2 linked regions of the Bombyx mori genome follow. The protein of the gene in region 1 purifies or fractionates together with the protein of each later gene. This does not show direct contact. Links are inferred from orthologs where the notes say so. Each region holds a gene or a part of one and is shown on either strand. Other genes may lie near its edges. The genes, in order: spastin and nucleoporin Nup43.

The links.
Region 2: the proteins of spastin (region 1) and nucleoporin Nup43 purify together in Homo sapiens (affinity purification with mass spectrometry; 3 studies listed by BioGRID and IntAct, counting the BioPlex papers as one, with this or other methods). This does not show direct contact. The link is inferred for Bombyx mori from reciprocal best matches to the Homo sapiens genes SPAST and NUP43.

What each region holds. Positions count from the first base shown.
Region 1 is NC_085131.1:9,724,056-9,727,892, reverse strand, and holds part of spastin, read right to left. Parts: coding exon 3,819-3,837; intron 3,211-3,818; coding exon 3,011-3,210; intron 410-3,010; coding exon 246-409; 3' UTR 223-245; intron 1-222. UniProt on the Homo sapiens protein: ATP-dependent microtubule severing protein that specifically recognizes and cuts microtubules that are polyglutamylated.
Region 2 is NC_085111.1:1,602,231-1,606,167, reverse strand, and holds the start of nucleoporin Nup43, read right to left. Parts: upstream 2,627-3,937; 5' UTR 2,512-2,626; coding exon 2,439-2,511; intron 2,212-2,438; coding exon 1,764-2,211; intron 1,127-1,763; coding exon 955-1,126; intron 1-954. Other genes in the region: queuosine 5'-phosphate N-glycosylase/hydrolase, read left to right, coding at 2,946-3,053, 3,374-3,586, 3,795-3,937. UniProt on the Homo sapiens protein: Component of the Nup107-160 subcomplex of the nuclear pore complex (NPC). The Nup107-160 subcomplex is required for the assembly of a functional NPC.

The sequences.
Region 1 (3,837 bases):
AATTAAGAAAAGTCTATTAAAATGTATACTAAGTAAACAAACTTGATAAAAATTTAAAACACCAATAATGTAAAGCAAAAGGTCGCTAGTTACCCTAGCGCCATCTAGTGATCGCGAGATCAAAACGCAACAGTCACAAATGTAGCAGGTTCAAAGATTATAATAGGTAAAGCTGTCTCTAGTATAAAATTATCGTAGTACAAAAAAAGAACAATATCATACCTCAACTACCCTCAACTAAAAATTCAAAATCCCAAATCGCCATACTGCACGGACCACTTCTCGTACGCGACGAGGCTGTGCGGAGACACAGAAGGTCGGATCCTTTTCAGCGAATCTAGGAAATCTTGGAAGGTAATGCTCCGGACCAATGACAGGTCCAGACATTTGACTTCCTCGGGATCCAGCTCTGTAAAGAAACGAAGACTTTTGAAATGTCAGCAAAGATTGTACAGACAGTGGCATTTTCACTAAGGTCGTAAGACTTCACTTCACGATGATAACTGAATAAAGACAGAAGATGTATTTTTATCTCTTTCTTTTTATTTTATAAGCTAGCATTTAATAAAGATTTAAATTATTATAGACGACATGTTTATGAAAAACGCGAGATATCCGCAAAGATGAGATTTAGGAATTACTCAAATTTAGCTCTGTCTTTGCATAGAAAAAATACAGTAAAGTTTAGTTCACACTGAGTACAACTCTAAAATATTAAAGAAAGAATTTAAAATAAAATAAATAAATAAAACAAAACGATGTTAGTTCTCAAAGCTATAACGGGAAAAGTTACTTTATTTGTTGCCACATAAGGTTCACTTAACATTAAAGGTTGTTTAACATATGCCTTTTCGTTTGTAAGTGACAGGAGTAATTTATTGCTTTGTGACCTTCGATCAATAATAGTACTAGATTAAGGATCAGGAACAAAAATAAGACGCTCCAGTGGCCACGTTTGCAGACACGAAAACATCTTCATTTCTTAGAAAAAAGTTTAATAATGTTAACGACTTCAGTTTATTATAAACCTTAATACTTAAACATAAAGTTTAATTACCATTGCAAAATATATGTATTTAGGTCCTTTCGTCAGAAAAAGAATATTATGGAATAAATTTAAAATGTCACTTGAACATAAAAAGTCATCAGTACAAAATATTTATTCTAAAATGATACTTAAAGCCTAATTTATAAGGTTAAAAATATTTGTTTAAAATTTCGTGCTTATTGCATTGTGGAACTAGATGTAGTTCTTGGTATTACATTTCAATGCTCAGAACACAGTAAGTATTGAAAGACATAGAGTTGCAGAATATACATATTTGTTTTAGGTTTGTTTTGTATGGTCGCAACTATTTTTGACAGATTCAAAAAAGTAGTAGATAATATTTTACATTGCCGCTATTACAACAAATAGGTGATAAAAAATAAAATTGAATAAAGTAAAAAAAATAAGAAAGGAAACACGAAACATGTTTTCCACGTATTCTTTATACAGAAGTAATTAAAACAATAATGTAGGTTTAATTACCTTTAAACAGATTCAGTTTGTTATAAAGCTGTCTCTTAGAAGTCATTTTTATATGAGCGGTTTCTTTTTTACAAATATAATGTAATCTTATATCAATGAATTTTTCTATAATCAGTTTAATTTAGGCTTATTTTATGGCTGTGTTCGTTTCCCCCAGAAAACAAATCCTTTTCAGCATATACGCTTAAAATATTTACACATACATATAAAGTTTTTTTAATACTTTTTTGCATTGATTTGCCACCACCATTGAACAATTCTAGAATTTTTATAAGGGTTCTATATTTCTTCTCCTCTTTCTTTCGCGACAATATATATTCATTGTGCACAGCGACAAGGGGCTACTAGGAAATCTACAAACAAAAATAACATTATAAAATAACAAAACTACTCTATGCATTCCCTGTCCAAGAATAGGTGATGTTTGTTACAATAGTTGGTGCCTTGTTGCAAACATTGGCCAAACAATTACAATATTCGTAAATTGTGTTTTATTTACAATATAATTGTGTTTATTATTTTATGAAAAACACTTAATAATATAAATTTACCAAAAAAAGATATTCCTTCCAAAACCTTGGTGTTACGGTGGTTTTTTACTCAGTTTTTGAACGCGCATTGCAGCGTTTTGACGTCTTAGTGTTGGCTATGATTGGACCATACTAATTTGAAATAAGACCACAAATTTATTTGTGGTCTTATTTTTCGGGCCGTTTTTGAAGCGCTAATCGCGAATCTAGTAGTATTATTGATCGAAGTTTGTGACGAATGATCGTAAGTATTAGATAATGTTTTGAAGATTTGGAACTTTATTACTAGGTGGCATAGTTGTAATTAGTTTAAACTTAAAACTGTTTCAAAACTTTTTTCTCCGTTTGTTGTAAACCAACGTAGCTATGTATGTGTATATTCACGCGGACAGTTTTTGCTTCGATTTTGTACGTGTCCCTTTATCTAGTTACAATTGTTGATCGAAGACTTTAAAATACGAAACCAGAGCTATCTATTAACCCACAGACACAGCCGGATCTTCGCAGTGGGTCGCATTTCTGATCCGGTGGTAGATTATGTGAAGCACTGCTCTTGCTAGGGTTCGTGTTAGAAACGTCGTTAGGTTTGAACCTGTTCACCTACTAGTTAAGCTTACGATGAAGTGGTCTCTCAAGATCATCTGCTTAGGTAGGAAAAAGCTCTCGGTGAGTTTTTTTGTTTGTTTGCTGAGATGGGTGGACGAGCTCACAGCCCACCTTGTGTTAAGTGGTTACTGGAGTCCATAGACATTAATGCGCCACCCACCTTGAGATATAAGTTCTAAGGTCTCAGTATAGTTACAACGGCTGTACTGCTTCACGGCAGAAATAGGCAGGGTGGTGGTACCTACCCGTGCGGATTCTCAAGAGGTCCTACCACCAGTAAAAAAGAGTTCGTGTTATAGAGGTCACGTGTAGGTCGTGTTGGTGTGGGCGGGCGCGCACGCACCTCGTATGGGGCCGAGCGCGGCGTCCCTGCAGAGCGCGGTGAGGTCGCTGCCGGAGTAGCCGTCAGTGAGCGCGGCGAGGCGCACCAGCTCGTCGTCCGCGAGCTCGGTCTGCGCGGCGCCGCGGGCCAGCACGCCGCGCACCAGCGCCGCCCGCACCCGCGCGTCCGGCAGCGACACGTACACGCGCTTCGGGAACCGTCTGCAACAACAAATCCATAACACCCAGTTGAAAGACTATTCAAATCTTACAATGTTATATTACGCCACATTATAAGACTGCGTTCGAAATTCTGAATGTAATTTAGTACTCTTATACGTATTATATTATATAAACCTTTAAACGAGCAATTCTTGTATATATATATAATAATATAATCTGAATCTCGGAAACGGCTCCAACGATTTTCATAAAATTTAGTATACAGGAGATTTCGGGGGCGATAAATCGATCTAGCTACGATTTATTTTCAGAAAATGGTCATCGTCTAGTACTCTTAATTTGGATCAGGATTTTTCAAGAACACAAAGTAATTGCAAAATCAATTTTCATTTTATTATAAATACTGTTCAGCACAGCAATGTACCAATAATCACCAAATGGAAAAGTTTTTTATTATTTCATTTTTCTGTTCCAATACGTTAATTATTGATGTTGCAAATTTAAAGTAAAAAAAAAAACAGAGACCACAGTCGAGAGCTATGGGTTTAGGCTTTAACGAGTTCTGTAGGAGAATAGTTGAGAACACTATATCTATCCACATTATCATTGGATTGATTTATTAAAACTAAGTCATTATTATTTTTTACCTCAACGCAGCCTCGTCCA
Region 2 (3,937 bases), on another chromosome or scaffold:
TCTATTGACTATTTGTAAGTAATATTTATTTGTTGATCTGTTGTATAGGCAATGAAAACATTTATCAATGAACTTTATCTTTTCTTTACTTTTATTTAGTTTATAAGAATCAGAACAATATTTTTTTTTTTACTCACAGCTCACAGCCCACCTGATGTTAAGTGGTTACTGGAGCCCATAGACATCTACAACGTAAATGCGCCACCCATCTTGAGATAAAGTTATAAGGTCTCAAGTATAGTTACAACGGCTGCCCCACCCTTCAAACCAAAACGCATTACTGCTTCACGGCAGAAATAGGCAGGGTGGTGGTACCTACCCGTGCGGACTCACAAGAGGTCCTACCACCAGTAATTACGCAAATTATAATTTTGCGGGTTTGATTTTTATTACACGATGTTATTCCTTCACCGTGGAAGTCAATCGTGAACAATTGTTGAGTATGTATTTCATTAGAAAAATTGGTACCCGCCTGAGATTCGAACATCGGTGCATCGCCTCAACACTTATGCACCAGACGTCTTATCCATTAGGCCACGACGACTACAAATAACATACGACTACAAATAAATATGTAATAACATTTTATATGTAGATTTCAATTTTGTATGGGAATCAGGAATAAGATAAAAAGAATTTCTGAGTAGTCCATTCAGAGTTGATAAAAATATAAGCATGAAAAATTAAAAAAAAAATAACATTTTTTCTGTAATGAAAACTAATTTTATGATTTACTGTCTCGCATTTTTATTGTAAATTAAATTATTTTTATTAACCATACAAGTAATTTTTATACTTGTCTTTGAATCGCTATGTCTGTCTATGATGTGTGATGTCTATGACTGTGTGTATGTCTATGAACCGAAGAAAACATCATTTGATTTGGTCATTCTATATTTAAGAAAACTAAAACTTACTCTCTGTTAATCAAAAAGTTAGAGATTAAGGATTTACCTCTGTGTGTTTTAAATAACAAATGGAATGCAATGAACAGCTATCAGCCCCTTTGATTGTACGGTTGACTTCACCCCTTCGGCCACTCAATATGTTCACATTGCCATCCTCACCAATACTAGCTATGTCTCCTTCATATGTATCCAAAGATGTTGCAGAGCATTTTGTATTACTGAAATAAAGCATTTGTTACGAGTTAAGAATTAGTTATGTGTGCTATTTTCAAATAATTCAAACACTTATCAGTCATTTCCTTTTTTTTTAAAAGAACTGAATGTGTAGCAGTTTTCTAGAAAACGACATGATTGGCAGCTTCATAGGTAGGAATATTACAAAAAGTACACAATTATACATTTTTTTCTTTGGTGGTTACAATATCAGGTAATAAAACTTTGATGTTTCATTGTAACATTGGTGTAGATATTTTGTGGTATTTATTAAAATTCTTATATTAAAAAGGCATAAAATTCATCTTCAAAATTAGAAAAAAATGAACAGAAATTGTTATTGTTGATAAAATATTAGATATAAATTGTTGAAAACATTTTATAGTATGTTTACTCAAATAAAGTAATTTACATCTTAAGTTACTTGATGATAGAATTGGTAATTAATGATTTGCTGACTGGTAGAATGCATTGAGAGTGATATGGATAGCTGGCTCGATGTTTGGTGTGTGTGCCTATTGTTACCATGCTGTGCCAAAGCAGTTACAACATAACACCTGACTTCAGTATGCTCTGGTTTTCGTGAATTGTAGTTTTAACTGCTTTAACCTTTTAGTAGTTTAAAAAAAACTAGAACCTCACCCGTAGTTATGTAAAGACTTCCAAGAAAATATTTCTTTAAGTGGTGTTTGTTTATCATAAGCACTAATTTCAAGTATTTTTACATCACCATTAGATATTGAAACGGCTATTTTGTTTTTTTCCGTGAATTTTATTTGTGTAACATCATCATCTACTGGATACTTGGTAAGGGCACGAGGATATTCTACCTCTTCGTCTTCGTTAACACTTTCAAAAGTCCAAACTGTTATTAAGTTGACCTCATCATCCCAACTACCGGTGAGAAAACATTTTGTTTCAGCATAATCTTCAGGAATCCATCTGACTTTATTTATTTTTTGAGAAACAAACGTTCCTTGAATATCTATTGACATTTTTGTATACAAATGGGTCATAAAATGAACAAGAACACAACAGAAGATAAATAAACACACTTCCCTGTTTCTGGACTTTCTGATGCTTTTCTGTGCTGTAAAAATTTTTTTAAAAGGATTTTATGACCAGGTAACTAAGACCTTTAAGTCATGTTTTATTTTAATTTTAAGTATTATTTTCATGAAAAATGATAATATGGAGTGAAATGAAATGAAATGAAGATTATTAAACTGAGACATTAATCAACTGGGATGAAATTAAATTAAATGATATGAGATGATATGGGATGACATAAATCTCAGTAAAATGGTGGTCATTTACTGAGACTTTTAAGTGGACTTTTTTGAGGATCCCGAAAAGTTACGTCCAGCGGCTTTGTTTTATTTTCCCACATTTGTGCACTTTCACAGATATTAAACAGTTAATAAACCACCATTATTACACATTTAAACCTGAAGAAACACTAAATAGACAAAATAAAACAAATCATACAACTTCACTCCTCGCGTATATATTTATGTGTATACCCATAGACATTTAAACCTACCGTTCTATCATTCATTAGCGTTAACTTTTTTAATGCTTTTTTATTATTTCTCGAATATATTAAGTGTATAATCTATGATTTAAGTTATTTAGCCAATCAGAGTGCACTTGGATATCTTTATCTTTTAAAATCACAGATGTTGAAGATAACAAATTTTTGTGTTCCTGCTTTATTTAATGTGAATATCATAGCTGTAACTGTAAATCACTCTAGTACAATTAAATTCAAATTGAAATTTTCTATCCACCTTCACTTTTTATTCAGACTATCATTTTATAACCATGGATGACGAAGTTGTTTTGCTGCCAGCAAAAGCCGGTGAATTTATTGCTAGATATGCCAAGCATGTACAGATACATGAAGAAGGATTAGATAAAGCATGTAAAGAGGTAAACTTTATTTAATTTATATTGTAGTTCCAGTTTAATCTATTAAGGCTAATAGTATTAGAAAAGAAAAACAATAAACATGTTAATCTTTATTGCATACTGGTTTGAAGGGTGTAACAACCTTAGACTTTATGTTTCAAGGTATGTGACAACTTTTGCATTGTGACATCATAAGATGCAGTAACTAACATTTAACATCATGTGGGCTGTGAGTTCATCCTCAGACAAAGGGTAAAGGTAAAAAAAAATAGTCTTAGAACTTCAACTAATAAACATTAATTTACAGTTACTCACAATCAAATTATATTCATTGTTTATAGATACTCACGTCAATTTCTACAAGTAAACTGGAAATCCCTGATGCAGGAACAGGTATACATCCTAATGTTGAACACCCAAGGGCTGTGGACTGGGTGTTTGTTGCGGACACGTTAAACTTCTGTTTCTGGTCATACAGTGGAGTTCTGAAATGGACTGTTGGTGGACATTCTGGGTATTATGCTTTGGAGGCTGCCCTTGATAGAGCAATTAAGGTATTTATTATAATAATGTAAATTGAGTGCTCAGATATCATTATTGCACTGTTAGACCTTGTCAAAAGCACATTTAATTGACAATAATAACAACAGTATTCTTTATTATGTATAAAACAAGCATTATTTTTAAAGAATACTGAATTTAAGCTAAGGACAAAGAGCAGTTATAAAATGAAAGCTGATATGTATATTCACTCTGTTTCAGGAAGGTTATGATATAACAAACCCAGAATACTATTCGAAGATAACTACAGAACAACTAGAAATGATAATGAGAGGGGATAATGAAGCTAAAATACCATTGTTTACGGAAAGAATGTCTGTGCTACATGAAACTGGTGCGATTTT